2 linked regions of the Xenopus tropicalis genome follow. The protein of the gene in region 1 interacts with the protein of each later gene in a biochemical or structural test. Links are inferred from orthologs where the notes say so. Each region holds a gene or a part of one and is shown in the gene's direction. Other genes may lie near its edges. The genes, in order: rxfp3 and rln3.

Region 1 (10,175 bases):
CAATGCCCCATGTTCCACCTGAATAATGGTCTGTCCTTTGGGTACAGGATCTCTACAGATCAAGGAAAGGTTTATCAAAAGTTTAGAACTTAATAAATTCACCCACGTTCTGTTTATTCTTATGGGGTTTTTAAAAATTTATCATTGATAAATACACTTCTAAAAATCCCATAGGAACATGGGTGTTTATGTAATCACTGATTGCATCACTGATTACATACCTTAAAGGGTTACGCCTATGTAAGTTGTCTAAATTACAATTATTTTCTAGCTTTGTTACCATTTTATACAATATTATATACGCAGAGGTGTTATAAATCTATTATTTGAGAATTGGCCAAATACGCAAACCAGAAGATTTAATGAAATACTGAACAGGATATTAACCCTGATTCGACCTGTTAAATTGAAGCACAATAATGACAGGAAATCCCAAATCTAATGCATGGGGCCCCGTGTTCCATTAAACTACAGGTATGAGCCTTTTTATGCAGAATGCTCAGGACCTGGGGAGCCTATGGGAGATGGTCTTGCCAAAATTTGGAGCTTTCTGGATAATGGGTTTTCCAGACAATGGATCCTATACCTGTACCTGCAACTGAAAATGTTATCTTTAACCCTAAGTCTACAGTGAGCACCATGCAGCAATGCCCCCTGGGTACTACAAGTAAATACAGGTTGGCCAGTCAGACTGAGCCTCTATAGTGTAAATCAGATGGGAATTCACAGACCTGTACAGGGGCACTTGCACAGGCATTAGGCTGAGGTTACATGTGAGTATACAGTATGGGGGTGATTTATCAACATTTGAATTTTTTTGGGCTAAAACTCCCAATATTCGAATTATAGTCCGAAAACTCAAATGTTCACACAGTCCCTTCCCAGAGGCTATTTTCCCCCCACTGCTACTATAGGCACCATCTCTCCCTACTATACCTGCTATCCCACAGCCCCAGTCCCTTCCCAGAGGCTATTATCCCCCCACTGCTACTATAGGCACCATCTCTCCCTACTATACCTGCTATCCCACAGCCCCAGTCCCTTCCCAGAGGCTATTATCCCCCCACTGCTACTATAGGCACCATCTCTCCCTACTATACCTGCTATCCCACAGCCCCAGTCCCTTCCCAGAGGCTATTATCCCACTGCTACTATAGGCACCATCTCTCCCTACTATACCTGCTATCCCACAGCCCCAGTCCCTTCCCAGAGGCTATTATCCCACTGCTACTATAGGCACCATCTCTCCCTACTATACCTGCTATCCCACAGCCCCAGTCCCTTCCCAGAGGCTATTTTCCCCCCACTGCTACTATAGGCACCATCTCTCCCTACTATACCTGCTATCCCACAGCCCCAGTCCCTTCCCAGAGGCTATTATCCCCCCACTGCTACTATAGGCACCATCTCTCCCTACTATACCTGCTATCCCACAGCCCCAGTCCCTTCCCAGAGGCTATTATCCCACTGCTACTATAGGCACCATCTCTCCCTACTATACCTGCTATCCCACAGCCCCAGTCCCTTCCCAGAGGCTATTTTCCCCCCACTGCTACTATAGGCACCATCTCTCCCTACTATACCTGCTACCCCACAGCCCCAGTCCCTTCCCAGAGGCTATTATCCCACTGCTACTATAGGCACCATCTCTCCCTACTATACCTGCTATCCCACAGCCCCAGTCCCTTCCCAGAGGCTATTATCCCACTGCTACTATAGGCACCATCTCTCCCTACTATACCTGCTATCCCACAGCCCCAGTCCCTTCCCAGAGGCTATTATCCCACTGCTACTATAGGCACCATCTCTCCCTACTATACCTACAATCCCACAGCCACAGCCCCTTCCCAGAGGCTATTATCCCCCCACTGCTACTATAGGCACCATCTCTCCCTACTATACCTGCTATCCCACAGCCCCAGTCCCTTCCCAGAGGCTATTATCCCCCCACTGCTACTATAGGCACCATCTCTCCCTACTATACCTGCTATCCCACAGCCACAGTCCCCTTCCCAGAGGCTATTATCCCCCCACTGCTACTATAGGCACCATCTCTCCCTACTATACCTGCTATCCCACAGCCCCAGTCCCTTCCCAGAGGCTATTATCCCCCCACTGCTACTATAGGCACCATCTCTCCCTACTATACCTGCTATCCCACAGCCACAGTCCCTTCCCAGAGGCTATTATCCCCCCACTGCTACTATAGGCACCATCTCTCCCTACTATACCTGCTATCCCACAGCCCCAGTCCCTTCCCAGAGGCTATTATCCCCCCACTGCTACTATAGGCACCATCTCTCCCTACTATACCTGCTATCCCACAGCCACAGTCCCTTCCCAAAGGCTATTATCCCCCCACTGCTACTATAGGCACCATCTCTCCCTACTATACCTGCTATCCCACAGCCACAGTCCCTTCCCAGAGGCTATTATCCCACTGCTACTATAGGCACCATCTCTCCCTACTATACCTGCTATCCCACAGCCCCAGTCCCTTCCCAGAGGCTATTATCCCCCCACTGCTACTATAGGCACCATCTCTCCCTACTATACCTGCTATCCCACAGCCCCAGTCCCTTCCCAGAGGCTATTATCCCCCCACTGCTACTATAGGCTCCATCTCTCCCTACTATACCTGCTATCCCACAGCCCCAGTCCCTTCCCAGAGGCTATTATCCCCCCACTGCTACTATAGGCTCCATCTCTCCCTACTATACCTGCTATCCCACAGCCCCAGTCCCTTCCCAGAGGCTATTATCCCCCCACTGCTACTATAGGCACCATCTCTCCCTACTATACCTACTATCCCACAGCCCCAGTCCCTTCCCAGAGGCTATTATCCCCCACTGCTACTATAGGCACCATCTCTCCCTACTATACCTGCTATTCCCACTATTATCCCACACAAAAACTCTAATTGTAACACAGTTTAGGAAGTCACATACATTCTCTACAATGATATTCTGTAAGTATGTAGTAGGAACATATATTTTACTATAATGTTTACTGTATCATAAGAAAAGTGGATTGCATTTTTTATCTCTAAAATGTGTTTAATTGATATTAACTACATGGCTACCAAGCTCAAACCCCTTGTTTAATGGATAATAATCAATGTATATACTGTTCCTATATCACATTATTGCTCCAAGTGGCCATATCTGCAAATAAGAACTTTTTTTGGTAAGTAGGAGAATTTTACACGTAGAGCTTATAAGCCATTTGTTCCGTGATGCAAGGTGGGGGGAAGACACAGTTCAACCATAATTGATTCTTCAGCTCACCCCTTACATAATTCCATAGGGTGCATTCACTTCCAAGCCAAATCCATAGACCTCCATACAGGGAAGAAGCACATAAATACCCCCTTCTTCAGGTGCAATGTGTGTTAAGGGCAATTGGTGTGCTTCTTCCCTGTGTGGAGGCAAGGTGGGGGGGGGGGGGGGAGTTGTTTGCCAGAGCTAAATGAGATATGTTGGGGAAAATATCTGTACATGGGGTTCGTATATAATGGTTTAAACGTATTTCTTCTATCCTTATGCTCTTAAATGTGACTATAAATAATAAAGAGAGAAGATCTCTATGAATATCATATAAATACATTTGTATTTATTTGGCTCTGAAAGAGTAAAGCGAAATCTCACCGTCTGAATGTTCCACTGGCCTAAAGCATTACTGCCCCCTAGTGGACTTTCTTATTAAAAATGTTTAAAGAAGTGGAGACAAATCTATTACATTACGTTAAAATAACAGGGGGAAAAAAGCCTTAAAAATGAATATACTATTTTCAAGCACCACCATACAGCACAGAATGCCATTATATAGTTAGGGGGGTAATAAGGTAAAGAAACAAATTAACTGGGTTTCTAAATGTCATCTCTGGATTATTCTAAAACGTTTCTACAGCTGGAATGGAATTTATATTAAAATATAGAATTGGAAAATAAGACCCTGACTTGTACACCCTCCCCCCCCCCCCCCATTTTTCCCTCCCCTAAAGAATGGCTTGTAAGAATTAAACATGATAAACAACTATACAATTTATTGATGTAACTATACCAGCATAAATATGTTATGTAACTTGTTATTCTCAATAAAAAAGTTAAAACTTAAAAAAAAAAAATATAGAGAATTGGCAGATAGATGGATTGCTCTGATACCCAGCTGTTCTTATTATGGTCAACTGTAAGAGTACTAACCCCCAGTGGTGGCTGAACTAATGAGAGTCTCCTTTCTGGTTGGACTAGAATCCCTGAATAATTCTAATGATGATGGAAATACTAGAGAAGCCTGCAAGGTCCAGTCATGAGCTGATGCTCCTATCAGAGGGAGGTAGGGGGGGATTACAGTGCCGCCCCTCCTAGTATCAATTAGCAGAGAGGCAGAGTGGATAACCCTGAGCGTTACATCAGCACCTTGGAGAGTTCCCGTTAGTAGAACCTTGGAGAGCTCCATCTCAGCGCTGCACAGGCCCCGCCTCCTGAATAGAATTCTACTCAGCCTGACGGAAGGCGCAGGGCACAAAATATAAATGAAGTTGGAAGCTGCAACAACTCACAGGACTTTAGATCCAGCTGCCATACAGATATATGGAGTCCACAGCACTACCTCTCCTCATGTACCTTATCCTCTCATTGTAACAGCTGCTGATGCCACAATGCTGAAGGCTGTAGCTAATGAATGTATTATTTCCTAAGTGGATACAAAGACAGTGGAAGCAACAGATCGATGCCTCATTGAGAATCTTCTACATTGCCGTGCGATTTTGTCGGCAGTAAAAGAAAATGCGTTTATGGCATGGGACCATTAGCTCAATGAAGAGCTGAGTTTTTTTTTTATAACATGGGATGGATGTCAGTTGCAATCTCAGTTATTGCTCCATAGCAGCCAGTATGCAAGAAGCAGAGCAGAGCGACCTGCTTGGGATGTTTCCACTCTTCCTGGAGGAGCGACTGTTGAACAGGAGCAACGAGTCGCTACAGGACTTTATTAAAGGGTTCAACCTGGACAAATCGGATATAATAGGGGACAGCTCGGCTATAGTGAGGATCATTATCTCGATTGTATACTCCGTGGTGTGTGCATTGGGACTAGTGGGCAATGTGCTTGTCTTATACCTCATGAAAACCAAGCAAGGATGGAAGAAGTCATCAATAAACCTCTTTGTGACCAGCTTGGCCATCACGGACTTTCAGTTTGTATTGACTTTGCCTTTCTGGGCGGTGGAGAATGCGTTGGACTTCAGTTGGCTTTTTGGCAAAGCCATGTGCAAAATCGTGTCGTATGTGACCGCCATGAACATGTATGCCAGTGTGTTCTTCCTGACAGCAATGAGTGTGGCCAGGTACTACTCTGTGGCTTCTGCGCTGAAGGTGAAAAGGAGACCCGCCGGCTGCTCCGCCAAATGGGTGAGCGTTCTCATCTGGGTCTCCGCTATCGTTGCGTCTTTGCCCAACGCGATCTTCTCAACCACAGCGACTGTCTCCAGCGAGGTCCTCTGCCTGGTGAAGTTCCCAGTCAATAACGGCAATGCCCAGTTTTGGCTTGGGTTGTACCATGCCCAGAAGGTTCTGTTGGGCTTTCTGATCCCTCTGTTCGTTATTACTATCTGCTATTTGCTTCTGGTTCGTTTCATTACGGACCGGAACATTAGCAGCTCCAGCACCAAACGGAGATCCAAAGTCACCAAGTCGGTGACCATCGTGGTCCTCTCGTTTTTCCTCTGCTGGCTCCCCAACCAAGCCTTGACCACCTGGGGGATATTGATCAAACTGAATATTGTCCAGTTCAGCTATGAGTACTTTACTACCCAAGCCTACATATTCCCCATCACTGTGTGTCTGGCTCACTCCAACAGTTGCCTCAACCCAATCCTTTACTGCTTGATGCGCAGGGAGTTCAGGAAAGCGCTGAAAAACCTCTTCTGGAAAATCGCATCGCCGTCCCTGACCAACATGCGACCGTTCACTGCGACCACTAAACCCGAGCAGGATGATCACGCCCATGGTATGGTCCCTCTCAATCCAGCTGAACCCGATGTCATTTGTTACCCCCCTGGGGCAGTTCTATACAATGGCAGATATGACCTCCTCCCCAATAGCTCGACCGAGCAACGGTACTGAGACTTGTCCCTGTGAGACATTGGGTCAATCTGCCTCAATTTAACCACACACAGCAGAATATCAGGACTGCAGCTGGCTTGTTTTAGAAAGTCGCAGAGGAAATGGCTCAATGCGTCATGTAATACATATCACTACGATGAGATGTACAATAAGTGTCCTATAATAAATATACAAAGGGAGCTGCCACATGGTATATATCAACGTGTTAAAGGCATAGAGTACCTTCTGCTGAATAACTGCAAAGCCCTAGGCAAGGGAGAGGTGTGTAGATAACCCAGCGCACTGTATGTACCAAGGCTTATCTGTTGATACATGTGATGCAGCTGCTTGGTTACATTGTTGCTCCATTTGTTGCTGTTGCAATTAAGGAGGTATTTTATCTCACTACCTGCTCCATCCGTGTCTCCCTGGAGACAGGGTGCTGTGCCAAAAGGGTTTTTTGACTCCTCAATTTTATTTAGAAGGATAATAAAAAGCAATGCCATTGCGCTACACCCAGGCAGGCACTATACTTCATTATTAATATCTGTAATTTATATAGTGCTGGCATGTTGTACAGAATCATTTAAATTGATTTCTGCAGCAATGGAGCTTACAATCTAATACACGCAGGAGTTAAATAACCTTCCAACCAAGCTTTTGGGTGAGAATCTAAGCATTCAGAGAAAACCCACCCAGGTAGTGCCCTGGTCAGAATCGAACCCAAGACTCCAAGGCATCAGATCTAACGTCTGTGTCATTGTGCTGCTTTCCTACTAGAGGCTAATGCCCTGGTAATACACAAGGTAATCTTGGCACAGATACACTAGGGCTGGGTTCCATGTAATGTTATTACAGGTATGGGACCTGTTATCCAGAATGCTCGGGACCTGGGGTTCTCCGGATAAGGGATCTTTCCGTAATTTGGATCTCCATAACTTAAGTCTGCTAAAAATCATTTAAATATTAAATAAACCCAATAGGGCTGTTCTGCCCCCAATAAGGGGTAATTATATCTTAGTTGGGATCAAGTACAGGTACTGTTTTATTATTACAGAGAAAAGGGAATCATTTAACCATTAAATAAACCCAATAGGGCTGTTCTGCCCCAATAAGGGGTAATTATATCTTAGTTGGGATCAAGTACAGGTACTGTTTTATTATTACAGAGAAAAGGGAATCATTTAACCATGAAATAAACCCAATAGGGCTGTTCTGTCCCAATAAGGGTAATTATATCTTAGTTGGGATCAAGTACAGGTACTGTTTTATTATTACAGAGAAAAGGGAATCATTTAACCATGAAATAAACCCAATAGGGCTGTTCTGCCCCCAATAAGGGGTAATTATATCTTAGTTGGGATCAAGTACAGGTACTGTTTTATTATTACAGAGAAAAAAATAAATCATATTTAAAAATTAGAATTATTTGCTTATAATGGAATCTATGAGAGATGGCCTTTCTGTAATTTGGAACTTTCTGGATAAGGGGTTTTCTGGATAAGGGATCCCATACTTGTACTGAATTTGCTTTCTAAATATAATAACCCGTACACTCAGGTGTATATATAGATAAACATATGCCGATACTTAGTTTTCTAACTATACTCTGCCGCCCCAGGGTCACTTGTTGAAAGCATTTTTTTATTAGATCCTGATGTGGCTAAGAGTAAATACACTCAGACAGCCATTGCGCGGGGCAGCTGTTCATTCTGAGGTTTTATGACCCACACAGCCATATAAAGGAGCCACGTGGCGCATCTCTTTACCCTGTACATAACAATAATTGCCAGGTATATTGCTCCTACACATCGGAAATTTTATAGCACTTCTTTTTATATGATATATATGTATAAATGCATTTTTTTAAACTCTATGGGGCTTTTACTTTTTTTTTTAAGAAAGTGATTTCTATGTTTGGATTGTTAAATGCATATTTTGGCACTTAAATGCAACCTCTTGCACATAAGTTCCCTGCAGCTCTTGTGTTGTGCTGTATATTCTGATAAGGCATGTTCACTCAGTAGCAGCGATGGGCAAATGGTAGCCTTTAAGATGATTCAAACCATAACTCCCAGCCTTCTCTAAAGGTGGCCATACACGGGCAGATTTGAGTCCTTCCAATGGATTCGGTAGCTTATCTTCCCATCTCCCCAACTGATGGCTCAATATATTCCAGGTGTCGATTGGACAGTTTTGATTTTCCCATCAGATTGGGGACCACATTGGCTCACTGATGCAGCCCTTGGTACGACGGCTCCTATACCTGTTATTGTAATTTTATCGTTTGGCCAAACAATTGAATTAGAGATAGCCTTCATTAGGTGGGCATAATGGGAGAAGATCCACCTAGGTCTTAACATGTATGGCCACCTTTACCCCAGGAGTAATAGTCTCCCCAACCGATAGCTGAATATATTCCAGGTGTCGATGGGACAGGTTTGATTCTCCCATCAGATTGGGGACCACATTGGCTCATTGATACAGTCCTTGGTTTGACGGCTCCTATACCTGTTATTGTAATTTGATCATTTGGCCAAACAATTGAATTAGAGATAGCCTACATTAGGTGGGCATAATGGGAGAAGATCCACCAAGGTCTTAATGTGTATGGCCACCTTTACTCCAGGAGTCATAGTCTCCCCAACTGATGGCTGAATATATTCCAGGTGTCAATTGGACAGTTTTTCCCCATCAGATTGGGGACCACATTGGCTCATTGGTTCAGTCCTTGGTATGACATCTCCTATACCTGTTATTGTAATTTGATCATTTGGCCAAACTATTGAATTAGAGATAGCCTACATTAGGTGGGCATAATGGGAGAAGATCTACCAAGGTCTTAATGTGTATGGTCTCCTTTACCCCAGGAGTCATAGTCTCCCCAACCGATGGCTGAATATATTCCAGGTGTCAATGGGACAGGTTTGATTCTTCCATCAGATTGGGGACCACATTGGCTCACTGATGCAGCACTTGGTACGACGGCTCCTATACCTGTTATTGTAATTTTATCGTTTGGCCAAACAATTGAATTAGAGATAGCCTACATTAGGTGGGCATAATGGGAGAAGATCTACCAAGGTCTTAACGTGTATGGCCACCTTTACTCCAGGAGTCATAGTCTCCCCAACCAATGGCTGAATATATTCCAGGTGTCAATTGGACAGTTTTTTCCATCAGATTGGGGACCACATTGGCTCATTGGTTCAGTCCTTGGTACGACGGCTCCTATACCTGTTATTGTAATTTGATCATTTGGCCAAACAATTGAATTAGAGATAGCCTACATTAGGTGGGCATAATGGGAGAAGATCTACCAAGGTCTTAACGTGTATGGCCACCTTTACTCCAGGAGTCATAGTCTATCAAGTTCTTAATAGCTCCACTTGCCCACGCTCTATAATATCCTCCGACCAAAGGTTTTAAGGCAAAAAATGACTTCACGGTATAGTATGCAACATGTCCATAAGGAACTAGAGGGCTACATGATTTCCTTTCCCTTTGCATGCATTGGAGACAATACAGTCTTTCGTGGTTTGGATATTTTTATGTCAGATAAGTAATTGGAAGTTATTTGTCTATTCTACAATGTAATTACCTGATAGGAACTCAAAACATCTGTAAGGTTCTTCAACAATCTAATTGTGTAGTCTGTTGCGGTATTAACCTCAGGTTATAAGAATGTAAAATGATCTGAAGAGTGTGTCTCTAAGCCTCAGACCTCTGTTTGTGCACCTTGTAATTGGCGATAAATATATTCAAACTTTGCTCAGCGTGAAGACTAGTATTGAGGTTGATAAAGATTCTCATTAAAACGGATTTACCCAAACAGTTCCTGATATGTCTATGCATCCCTGGAAATAAACTCTCTTTGCCCGCAGTCGAGACACAATGTACAGTAGGCAATAAACACACACACAGAGTCATGAAAGTGTCTCCTGAGAGACATTAGACTGATCATGTTGAAGATTGTCTTTGCCTAAAGGTAACAGAAAGGCAGATAGGAAGCAGAGCATGTCAAGGGCAAGTCTGTGATTTAGTAGCTTAATATAATGAAACTGAAGTTTG
Region 2 (10,220 bases), on another chromosome or scaffold:
TTGGGGGGGCCCTGGGGGAAGCTGAAGGATACTTGGGGGGGCCCTGGGGGAAGCTGAAGGATACTTGGGGGGGCCTGGGGGAAGCTGAATGATACTTGGGGGGGCCCTGGGGGAAGCTGAAGGATACTTGGGGGGGCCCTGGGGGAAGCTGAAGGATACTTGGGGGGGCCTGGGGGAAGCTGAATGATACTTGGGGGGGCCCTGGGTTGATATAAAATATTTTACTACAGTATTTGGTTCAGAATCTTTTTTCTCTAGATTTTCCTCCTTTAAAATTGGGTGCGTCTTATATTCCGGAGCGTCTTATAGGGCGAAAAATACGGTATATATTGAATGTATATTTGCTTACAACCCTTTTACGTTTAGCTCTGCAGGCAGCATATAATAAGGAGAAAGAGGAGGCTCCATGTTTATGGGGGCACAATGCCATGCTATAATATATATTACAGGTTTTACTGCCCACGCCATCATCTTAGCATCCATTTTATGACTTGCCATTGTGTCCCGACACCGTCACCTATTGTATTGTGTCCCCATTGTGACGTCGACTCTCATTAGTATTGTAATTAGCACATTCAGGAGCCATTGTTTTTTTTTTTTTGGGCCTCAGGGGCGTCCGCTGGTTAAATGTCCCTGTGCGGCTATTAGCCACCGCGTCAAAGATAGGATCCCAGCGGTGACAGATGGAGCCTTTTGTCATGAAAATGTTAGGGCAGCGAGGAGCAGGGATGGCGGCGCTATCAGTGGCTGTTCGATCCTATCACTCGCCCGCTGACATTATACCAGACAAAGGACGCCGTGTCCCGGCGAGGAAAGCTAATGGAATAGAGATTAGCAAAGTTCAGGCCGTGCAAATAGATTTGTATAACAATTCCGTAATGATAATGAGCGCTGCTCCGAATTGCGCCCGTACGTAAATGCGTATCCATTCCGAAAGATCAGCTGCGATCTGTAATCGCCGTAGCAGCGCAACGGGCATAAAGGGTAACCGAGAAAAACCGGCAGGAACTCCGGATAAACAAAACGTCTTGAGTAGCTGAAAACCAGTATAGTGTATTTAAACTTACACATAATGCTATAAAGCCTGACGCGTTTCGTACCTAAAACAGTCATAGGCTGAATAACAATCCACAAACACATATTATTTAAAGCAAAAATAGGCAATTGTATTGCAAGGAGGTTGACCAATCGCAACGTACATATAATTAAAGTTACGGTACGAAACGCGTAAGGCATTATGGCATTATGTGTACGTTTAAATGAACTATACTGGTTTTACTTCAACTTGTTGAGCACCCAGACCCTCCACCACCACAAAGAGTTCTACCTAATTCACCGAGTACTCGGTTTTCTTTATTTTTTGGATCTTTCCATATATATTGCAACAGGGTAACTTAGCACAGGGGCCACATTCTCTGCTAAGCACAGGGGCCACATTCTCTGCTAAGCACAGGGGCCACATTCTCAGCTAAGCACAGGGGCCTCATTCTCCGCTAAGCACAGGGGCCACATTCTCCGTTAAGCACAGGGGCCACAGTCTCTGCTAAGCACAGGGGCCACAGTCTCCGCTAAGCACAGGGGCCACATTCTCTGCTAAGCACAGGGGCCACATTCTCCGCTAAGCACAGGGGCCACAGTCTCTGCTAAGCACAGGGGCCACAGTCTCCGCTAAGCACAGGGGCCACATTCTCTGCTAAGCACAGGGGCCACATTCTCTGCTAAGCACAGGGGCCACAGTCTCCGCTAAGCACAGGGGCCACATTCTCCGCTAAGCACAGGGGCCACAGTCTCCGCTAAGCACAGGGGCCACAGTCTCCGCTAAGCACAGGGGCCACATTCTCCGCTAAGCACAGGGGCCACATTCTCCGCTAAGCACAGGGGCCACATTCTCAGCTAAGCACAGGGGCCACATTCTCAGCTAAGCACAGGGGCCACATTCTCTGCTAAGCACAGGGGCCACATTCTCTGCTAAGCACAGGGGCCACATTCTCTGCTAAGCACAGGGGCCACATTCTCTGCTAAGCACAGGGGCCACATTCTTTGCTAAGCACAGGGGCCACATTCTCTGCTAAGCACAGGGGCCACATTCTCTGCTAAGCACAGGGGCCACATTCTCAGCTAAGCACAGGGGCCACATTCTCAGCTAAGCACAGGGGCCACATTCTCTGCTAAGCACAGGGGCCACATTCTCAGCTAAGCACAGGGGCCACATTCTCTGCTAAGCACAGGGGCCACAGTCTCCGCTAAGCACAGGGGCCACATTCTCAGCTAAGCACAGGGGCCACATTCTCTGCTAAGCACAGGGGCCACATTCTCCGCTAAGCACAGGGGCCACATTCTCAGCTAAGCACAGGGGCCACATTCTCAGCTAAGCACAGGGGCCACATTCTCAGCTAAGCACAGGGGCCACATTCTCAGCTAAGCACAGGGGCCACATTCTCTGCTAAGCACAGGGGCCACATTCTCTGCTAAGCACAGGGGCCACATTCTCAGCTAAGCACAGGGGCCACATTCTCAGCTAAGCACAGGGGCCACATTCTCCGCTAAGCACAGGGGGTGTCGCACCTTGCCCACTCAAGCGAATGGGAGACAGAAGCGTGGGGGTCATGTGGTTCTCTGAAGGCAGAGAATATACCCCTCGTGCCACAGCCCTTATACACAGTGCTAATATTAGCACAACAATCAGTGGCGTAGAGGAAGCAGACGCGGCGGGGGGGGGGGGGGCCCTGGGTACAGGGGGGGAGGGCGCAGGGTCAGCTTCCTCTACGCCACTTTTCTACAAAGAAAATATACGTGCCCACTGCTTTCCTGAGCCGGCCCAACACACGCGGGCATGGAGCGGGGATTGTTTGCGTGGGGGCCTGGCAGCACTTCGTTACGCCGCTGACAATAATACCCAGAACTCAACCTCCTTTGCTAAAGTACCTGCTCCCTAATGAGAATAAAATCATTCCTACAGAGCCGGGGTCCGACTGCCCTGCCAGGGTACCGGGCACCTTCCTGGTGGGCCCAGGCCTGAGAGAAGTCCCATTAACCCTTACTTATTCCCACCATTAGCCTATATACCCTTTATATGCCATTCAGTGCCAAGGCCCGGTTCCACTCACGCCATCAGCACGCAGCAAGCATTGATCAGTGTGTTCAACATGTGAAGCTAATTTAGCTCTGGAGTCAGACTGATACAAATGGATGAGGGTTTGCCTTGGCGTTGGAGTTGGGGGCCATTCCAACCACTTATACTTACATAGGAGGGCCATTGTAGCATGGGGGGGGGGGGCAACTGTGTTGGCCCACCTATCTAGGGCAGGGTCATACTCAAGCATACACAGGAGTCACCTACCTGGGAACCCTCGGCAGTGGTAGAGACACCAGGACTTACCAGAGTAATAAACTTCATATAGGGCTTTGCCCTAAGGGTGCAGGGACACGGCGGGGACATCTTGGGGAGTGCGGGGCCCCTGGTTCGGCAGCCCCAGTGGGCCCTGCACCCCCCCAGTCCAACCCTGTGTGCATCATAGTACTTAGATTGTAAGCTCTACGGGGCAGGAAGCTCCTTCCTACTGTGTCTCATATCACATGGCACTTACTCCCTGTGCATTTATATTATTATATATATATATTTATTGTATTTATTCTAACACTTGTCCTCCCTGTGTGTAATTGTGTATATTGTAAGATTGTACAGCGCTGCGTACCCTTGTGGCACTTTATAAATAAAGTTATACATATAACAAATGCAAAGCTATTGGCTGAGCCCACTCATACAGACTCCTTGCAGATAGAGCCCTGGCTGGAATCAAACTTAAGACCCCAATGCTACATTGATCTCCCCCTCCCCCCAAATCACTAGGGGCAGTTATGGTCACCTCCACCTGATTCTAATAATAATGCGCCCCTAGTGGCCAAACTGCCAGGAGCAATGGTAGAATACCTGCTTGCCTTACTAAGCAGTTACTTTTGCGCAGGGACATGGGAGAAGCATTAGCACATACATTACTTTTTCTACCCGCCATGGGGGTCGCTATAAAGTCCCCCCTTGAGTCACTCGCCATACGCACAGATTTTGTACTTGTGGGGGTAGTTTACTGGGAAGTGATGCTCTGAGGGTGTCAGGGTGATGGCACCCAGTGACGAGCCTGGAATAATTGCTGCCTTATTATGCTGCAGAAAGGTTATCTCTCCTCTCAGAGGCTGCTCCGGGGAGGGGGGGCACCGAGTAGGGTCCTTATCTCCCCGCTCAGGCCCCCACGGTCAGCTTATAAGTGGACGGTCAGCAGCCACTGGGATTCACTTTCCTCGCTCACTGCCTGCCCAGTAAGAGCCTGGCATCATGCAGCGCGTGGCTCCCGCCCTTCTCGTGGTCCTGTGGCTCCTAGCCTGGCACAGCGGCACCCAGGCCACCAGCAGAGTCCCCACGTTTGGGGTGAAGCTCTGCGGCCGAGAGTTCATACGAGCCGTTATCTTCACATGTGGGGGTTCCCGGTGGAGAAGAAACGAGGCTCTGCAAGCAGGTAGGGGGTCTTACACAACTTCCTAAGGGGGTTATTGGGCGTGGGCAAAACTGTACCCAAAATCAGATAGAGCCCAGGGCAGACCTGCTTCCTACAGGGTTCATCCCTTTCTTCGAAACAATGTAGCAGAAGTCAATTCTCCTCCAGGTATGTTATTTCAGGAGTCACAATCAGCAGTGCAGAGAAGTGAAAATGGGAAATTGGGAAGTTGCTCAGAATGATATTTTCTTTCATTAGGTTCCCCTTTAAACATCCACTACCGTCCAATCATAATGTGAGTTTCATTGTTTTGTAGGGGGTCAAACCACCCATTTTGGGGGCTGTGACTGGTGAGGTGCAGCCCAAAGAGATGTCGCAGTTTTCATTTTTTTCACATTTCTTTTTTTTTGCCATTAGATATTGTGCTACTTGCCCTTTACCCTGGCAAAGGTACGACCAACGCCTTAGATTCTACCAACTCAGGGTTTTGTTTAGATTGGCAAGATTGATAGGCACCAGCATTTAAAGGGTTAAAAGCGCTCCAGCTTCCTATGTGCAGGATAAATATTGCAATGAAAGTGTTCTGGCAGCTTGAGAGTTAAGAGGGCAACCAACTTTTGGACTGGCACCCCTGACGCCCTGTAGATAGGGTGGGCTGCTGTACAAGGGTCAGTACCCGCTGCCCCAGCAACATTGCCCCCTAAGAGCAGCGTTGCCCACGGTTTAGTGCCCCCAACTGTAGGCAGTGCTGTATGCAGAGCAATGAGCCCCTTGCTAAGCCTGCTTAGACTCCCCCCCAGACATGCATTTGGTACGTTCCACCTGGAGCTCCCAGCATGCTCAGCCAGGGGAGGCTGCCTTATCTACCCCCTACTCCCACTGAGATATAACACGGGCTCCTGTTAGTGATATGGTAATAGTAACAATCAGAGCCTTTGTGTGCAGCTATTTAATGAGGAGATCTGTATCGGGGGCTCAGGGTGGGTTAGGTAGATAACACTTGTGTGCAGCTGTTTGTTTGTGATTGTGCGCCCACACTCAGCGCTTTGTCCGGTGCATCAATCTGGATATTAGAAGTCACTGAGGGGTTCTGTGCCCATATAAAGGCACAAGGCTGCAGGCTGAGTTATACAGGGAACTCTGAGTATCACTCATGTATTATAAGGGATAATGTACCCCCTACTGTAAATGATAAGGATATTAGCAGTCACTGAGGGGTTCTGTGCCCATATAAAGGCACAAGGCTGCAGGCTGAGTTATACAGGGAACTCTGAGTATCACTCATGTATTATAAGGCATAATGTACCCCCTACTGTAAATGATAAGGATATTAGCAGTCACTGAGGGGTTCTGTGCCCATATAAAGGCACAAGGCTGCAGGCTGAGTTATACAGGGAACTCTGAGTATCACTCATGTATTATAAGGGATAATGTACCCCCTACTGTAAATGATAAGGATATTAGCAGTCACTGAGGGGTTCTGTGCCCATATAAAGGCACAAGGCTGCAGGCTGAGTTATACAGGGAACTCTGAGTATCACTCATGTATTATAAGGGATAATGTACCCCCTACTGTAAATGATAAGGATATTAGCAGGCACTGAGGGGTTCTGTGCCCATATAAAGGCACAAGGCTGCAGGCTGAGTTATACAGGGAACTCTGAGTATCACTCATGTATTATAAGGGATAATGTACCCCCTACTGTAAATGATAAGGATATTAGCAGTCACTGAGGGGTTCTGTGCCCATATAAAGGCACAAGGCTGCAGGCTGAGTTATACAGGGAACTCTGAGTATCACTCATGTATTATAAGGGATAATGTACCCCCTACTGTAAATGATAAGGATATTAGCAGTCACTGAGGGGTTCTGTGCCCATATAAAGGCACAAGGCTGCAGGCTGAGTTATACAGGGAACTCTGAGTATCACTCATGTATTATAAGGGATAATGTACCCCCTACTGTAAATGATAAGGATATTAGCAGTCACTGAGGGGTTCTGTGCCCATATAAAGGCACAAGGCTGCAGGCTGAGTTATACAGGGAACTCTGAGTATCACTCATGTATTATAAGGCATAATGTACCCCCTACTGTAAATGATAAGGATATTAGCAGTCACTGAGGGGTTCTGTGCCCATATAAAGGCACAAGGCTGCAGGCTGAGTTATACAGGGAACTCTGAGTATCACTCATGTATTATAAGGGATAATGTACCCCCTACTGTAAATGATAAGGATATTAGCAGTCACTGAGGGGTTCTGTGCCCATATAAAGGCACAAGGCTGCAGGCTGAGTTATACAGGGAACTCTGAGTATCACTCATGTATTATAAGGGATAATGTACCCCCTACTGTAAATGATAAGGATATTAGCAGTCACTGAGGGGTTCTGTGCCCATATAAAGGCACAAGGCTGCAGGCTGAGTTATACAGGGAACTCTGAGTATCACTCATGTATTATAAGGGATAATGTACCCCCTACTGTAAATGATAAGGATATTAGCAGTCACTGAGGGTTATTAACATTAATATCAGGATGCTTTTGCCTCTAGTCTGTCTGTACACTAAATAAAAATAAACAATACTGGGGGCATCTCTTTGCACCCCCAGCTTCTCTTGTAGGGGAGCCTGCTGAAGTCTTTGGAAACTTGGTCTCTCCCGATGTGAATTCCGATGAGGAGGACGTGCTGAGTGAATGGGCGAGCAGCCTGCGTCCCCACAACAACGACATTGACTATGGCAGCGTGCAGAGTTGGCGAGATACCGCGGGGGGCAGGCACGGCATGGCAGCAGCAGAGGACGCCCTGAGGGGGGTGGAGAGGAGAGGGAGGGAAGCCGCGTTGGGATTATCAAATACTTGTTGCAAATGGGGGTGTAGCAAGAGCCAGATTAGCTCCTTGTGTTGAATGGGAGCCGAGTCACTGGGGTGGGGGGCAGTGTGGGGGGAGATTGGGTCATTGGTCTGTAACTGGGTCATGTACGTGTGTAGAACAGAAATCCCTATTGTTAGTGTGTGAGTGTGAGTGAATGAGTGAGTGTGAGTGAGTATTGGTTATGCGCAGGGGCACAGCCCAGGGTATCTGGGGCACGTGAGTGTTATCAGTATGTATATATATAATACATTTTCAACCCCGTATTCTGCTTGTTTCTTTCTTTTCTACATGTATTGATTTAATATGGAAGGAACCATTGTACATGGGTTTATTGGGCTGGGAATCTAGGGGAGCACTTTAGGCTCCCAGAGTGGGGGTGCTACTCCCGGGTGGCGGGCACAGCCAGCAGGGGGCCCCGTTGCAAATATAGTGTAAGGGACACAGGAGCAAGGAAGTCCTGGGCCCATAGAGCTTACAATCTAAGTGTGTGGGTAACTTCCAGGCACAGAGAGAAGTGCTGCTAAGGCTGTTCAAGTGCTTCGAGAGGCTGAGGGAGAGTTCCTGGTGGAGAAACATAAGGAATGAATTCCATAGGGGCAGAAAGGGAAAGCAGAGGGGCAATAGGGGATATGGGCGCTGTGAAAAGATGGCGGCTCTGAAAGAAATGGAGAAGGAGACCCAGAAAATTTGGAGGCACAGGGAAGATGCAGTGAGAGCAGGAGGAATGAAGCACTTTGTGAGGGACGGGAGGGGGGACAATAAGGACAGGGTTGGCCTGTGCCCACTGTTCTTCTGGGCAGAATGGCTAATGGGCACTAAAGGATTCGCCCGTGGGAACTTGTCAGTATTAACAAAGGAGGATTCTCATTTGCCCAAAGTGACCTGCCCAGGGTGCAGTAATGCATCAGGTATCATAGGGCCCCATATTACTAAATTACCAGGTTCCACCCCCTCAGGGGCCCCCAGTTATTAACTCATTGGTTACCTTTGCCCCAGGAGGAGGGCCCTGAAAGCAAGTAGAATGGGGCTAGAAACAAAATGGCGCATGTACTTATGACCACGCCCCCTGATCAACACCAGGCACACACCATTATGCCAAACCCCACCCATAATCCAGCCAAGCTCCTCCCATTCTCCACAAACCCTGTCCATGCCTGTAATTCACACTATTACATTGTTTCGGCCCCAAGGGGCCCCTGACTGCAGTACTCCCTGTACTCTCCTATTGGCAACGCTGCTGCTAAGCCTCCATTGTCTACAAAATGGAACAATGGTAAAACACGGGTTAAATGGCAGTTGTCTAGGTGCTTGGTATCGGATCCAGCAGAGGGGACTGGTTAAAGGGGCAGTACACCTTTAAGTTAATTTTTAGTATGTTATAGAATGGCCAATTTTAAGCAGCTTTTCAACCGGTCTTCATTATTTGTTTTTAAATTATTTGCCTTCTTCTTCTGACTCTTTCCAGCTTTTATATGGGGGGGTCACTGACCCCGGCAGCCAAAACCTATTGGTCTGAGAGGCAACAGTTTTATTATTATTGTTATTTCATTTTAGTTATTTTTCTATTCAGTCCCTCTATTCTTATACCAGTCTCTCATTCAAACCACTCCCTGGATGCTAAGGAAATTTGGATCCTAGCAACCAGATTGTCTTAGAATCTCCCTCCTATTTACTCACAGATTATAACTCACTAAGGTGTAGCCGGACTTGGATTTCTTACTATTGAGTGCTATTCTGATACCTACTGGGAGCTGCTATCTTGCTCCCTTCCCATTGTTCTGCTGATCGGCTGCTGGGGGGGGGGGGGGGATATCACTCCAACTTGCAGTGCAGCAGTAAAGTGTGTCTGTATGAAGATCATCAGTCACGTGAATGGTGGAACCTATAAAACTAAGAATATGTTTAGCCCCACATCAATTTTTAAAATGAAATACAAAAGAAAATCTGTTTGCTCTATAAAAAAACACTACAATGCAGGATTCTGCTGGAGAAGACTGCTGTAATGCAGGGGACTGACTTATTGCCCAGTCAGCAGCAGAAAATGCATTGGTGGTTCAACCATTGCTCAGGACAGAGCCCTCCCCCCTTTACTTCATGAAGCAGTGCCGGTAGAAGGCAGAGCAGGAAGCACTGGGAAGAACTCGCGGTGCAGCAGGTAGGAACAGCAACATGGGCAGGAACAGCAACATAGGCAGGAACAGCAGCATGGGCAGGAACAGCAGCATGGGCAGGAACAGCAGCATGGGCAGGAACAGCAGCATGGGCAGGAACAGCAGCATGGGCAGGAACAGCAGCATGGGCAGGAACAGCAGCATGGGTAGGAACAGCAATGGGCAGGAACAGCATGGGCAGGAACAGCAACATGGGCAGGAACAGCAACATGGGCAGGAACAGCAGCATGGGCAGGAACAGCAACATGGCAGGAACAGCAACATGGGCAGGAACAGCAGCATGGGCAGGAACAGCAACATGGCAGGAACAGCAGCATGGGCAGGAACAGCAGCATGGGCAGGAACAGCAACATGGGCAGAACAGCAAACATGGGCAGGAACAGCAACATGGGCAGGAACAGCAGCATGGGCAGGAAAGCAACCATGGGCAGGAACAGCAACATGGGCAGGAACAGCAGCATGGGCAGGAACAGCAACATGGGCAGGAACAGCAACATGGCAGGAACAGCAGCATGGGCAGGAACAGCAGCATGGGCAGGAACAGCAACATGGGCAGCAACATGGCAGGAACATGGCAGAACAGCAACATGGGCAGGAACAGCAACATGGGCAGGAACAGCAACATGGGCAGGAACAGCAGCATGGGCAGGAACAGCAACATGGGCAGGAACAGCAGCATGGGCAG

The links.
Region 2: the proteins of rxfp3 (region 1) and rln3 form a complex in vitro, tested with the Homo sapiens proteins (2 studies listed by BioGRID, with this or other methods). The link is inferred for Xenopus tropicalis from reciprocal best matches to the Homo sapiens genes RXFP3 and RLN3.

Annotation. Positions count from the first base shown.
Region 1 is NC_030677.2:199,654,012-199,664,186, reverse strand, and holds the start of rxfp3 (relaxin-3 receptor 1), read left to right. Parts: upstream 1-4,309; 5' UTR 4,310-4,850; coding exon 4,851-6,009; intron 6,010-10,175. UniProt on the Homo sapiens protein: Receptor for RNL3/relaxin-3. Binding of the ligand inhibit cAMP accumulation.
Region 2 is NC_030679.2:141,068,433-141,078,652, reverse strand, and holds rln3 (relaxin-3 precursor), read left to right. Parts: upstream 1-4,330; coding exon 4,331-4,511; intron 4,512-7,101; coding exon 7,102-7,397; downstream 7,398-10,220. UniProt on the Homo sapiens protein: May play a role in neuropeptide signaling processes. Ligand for LGR7, RXFP3 and RXFP4.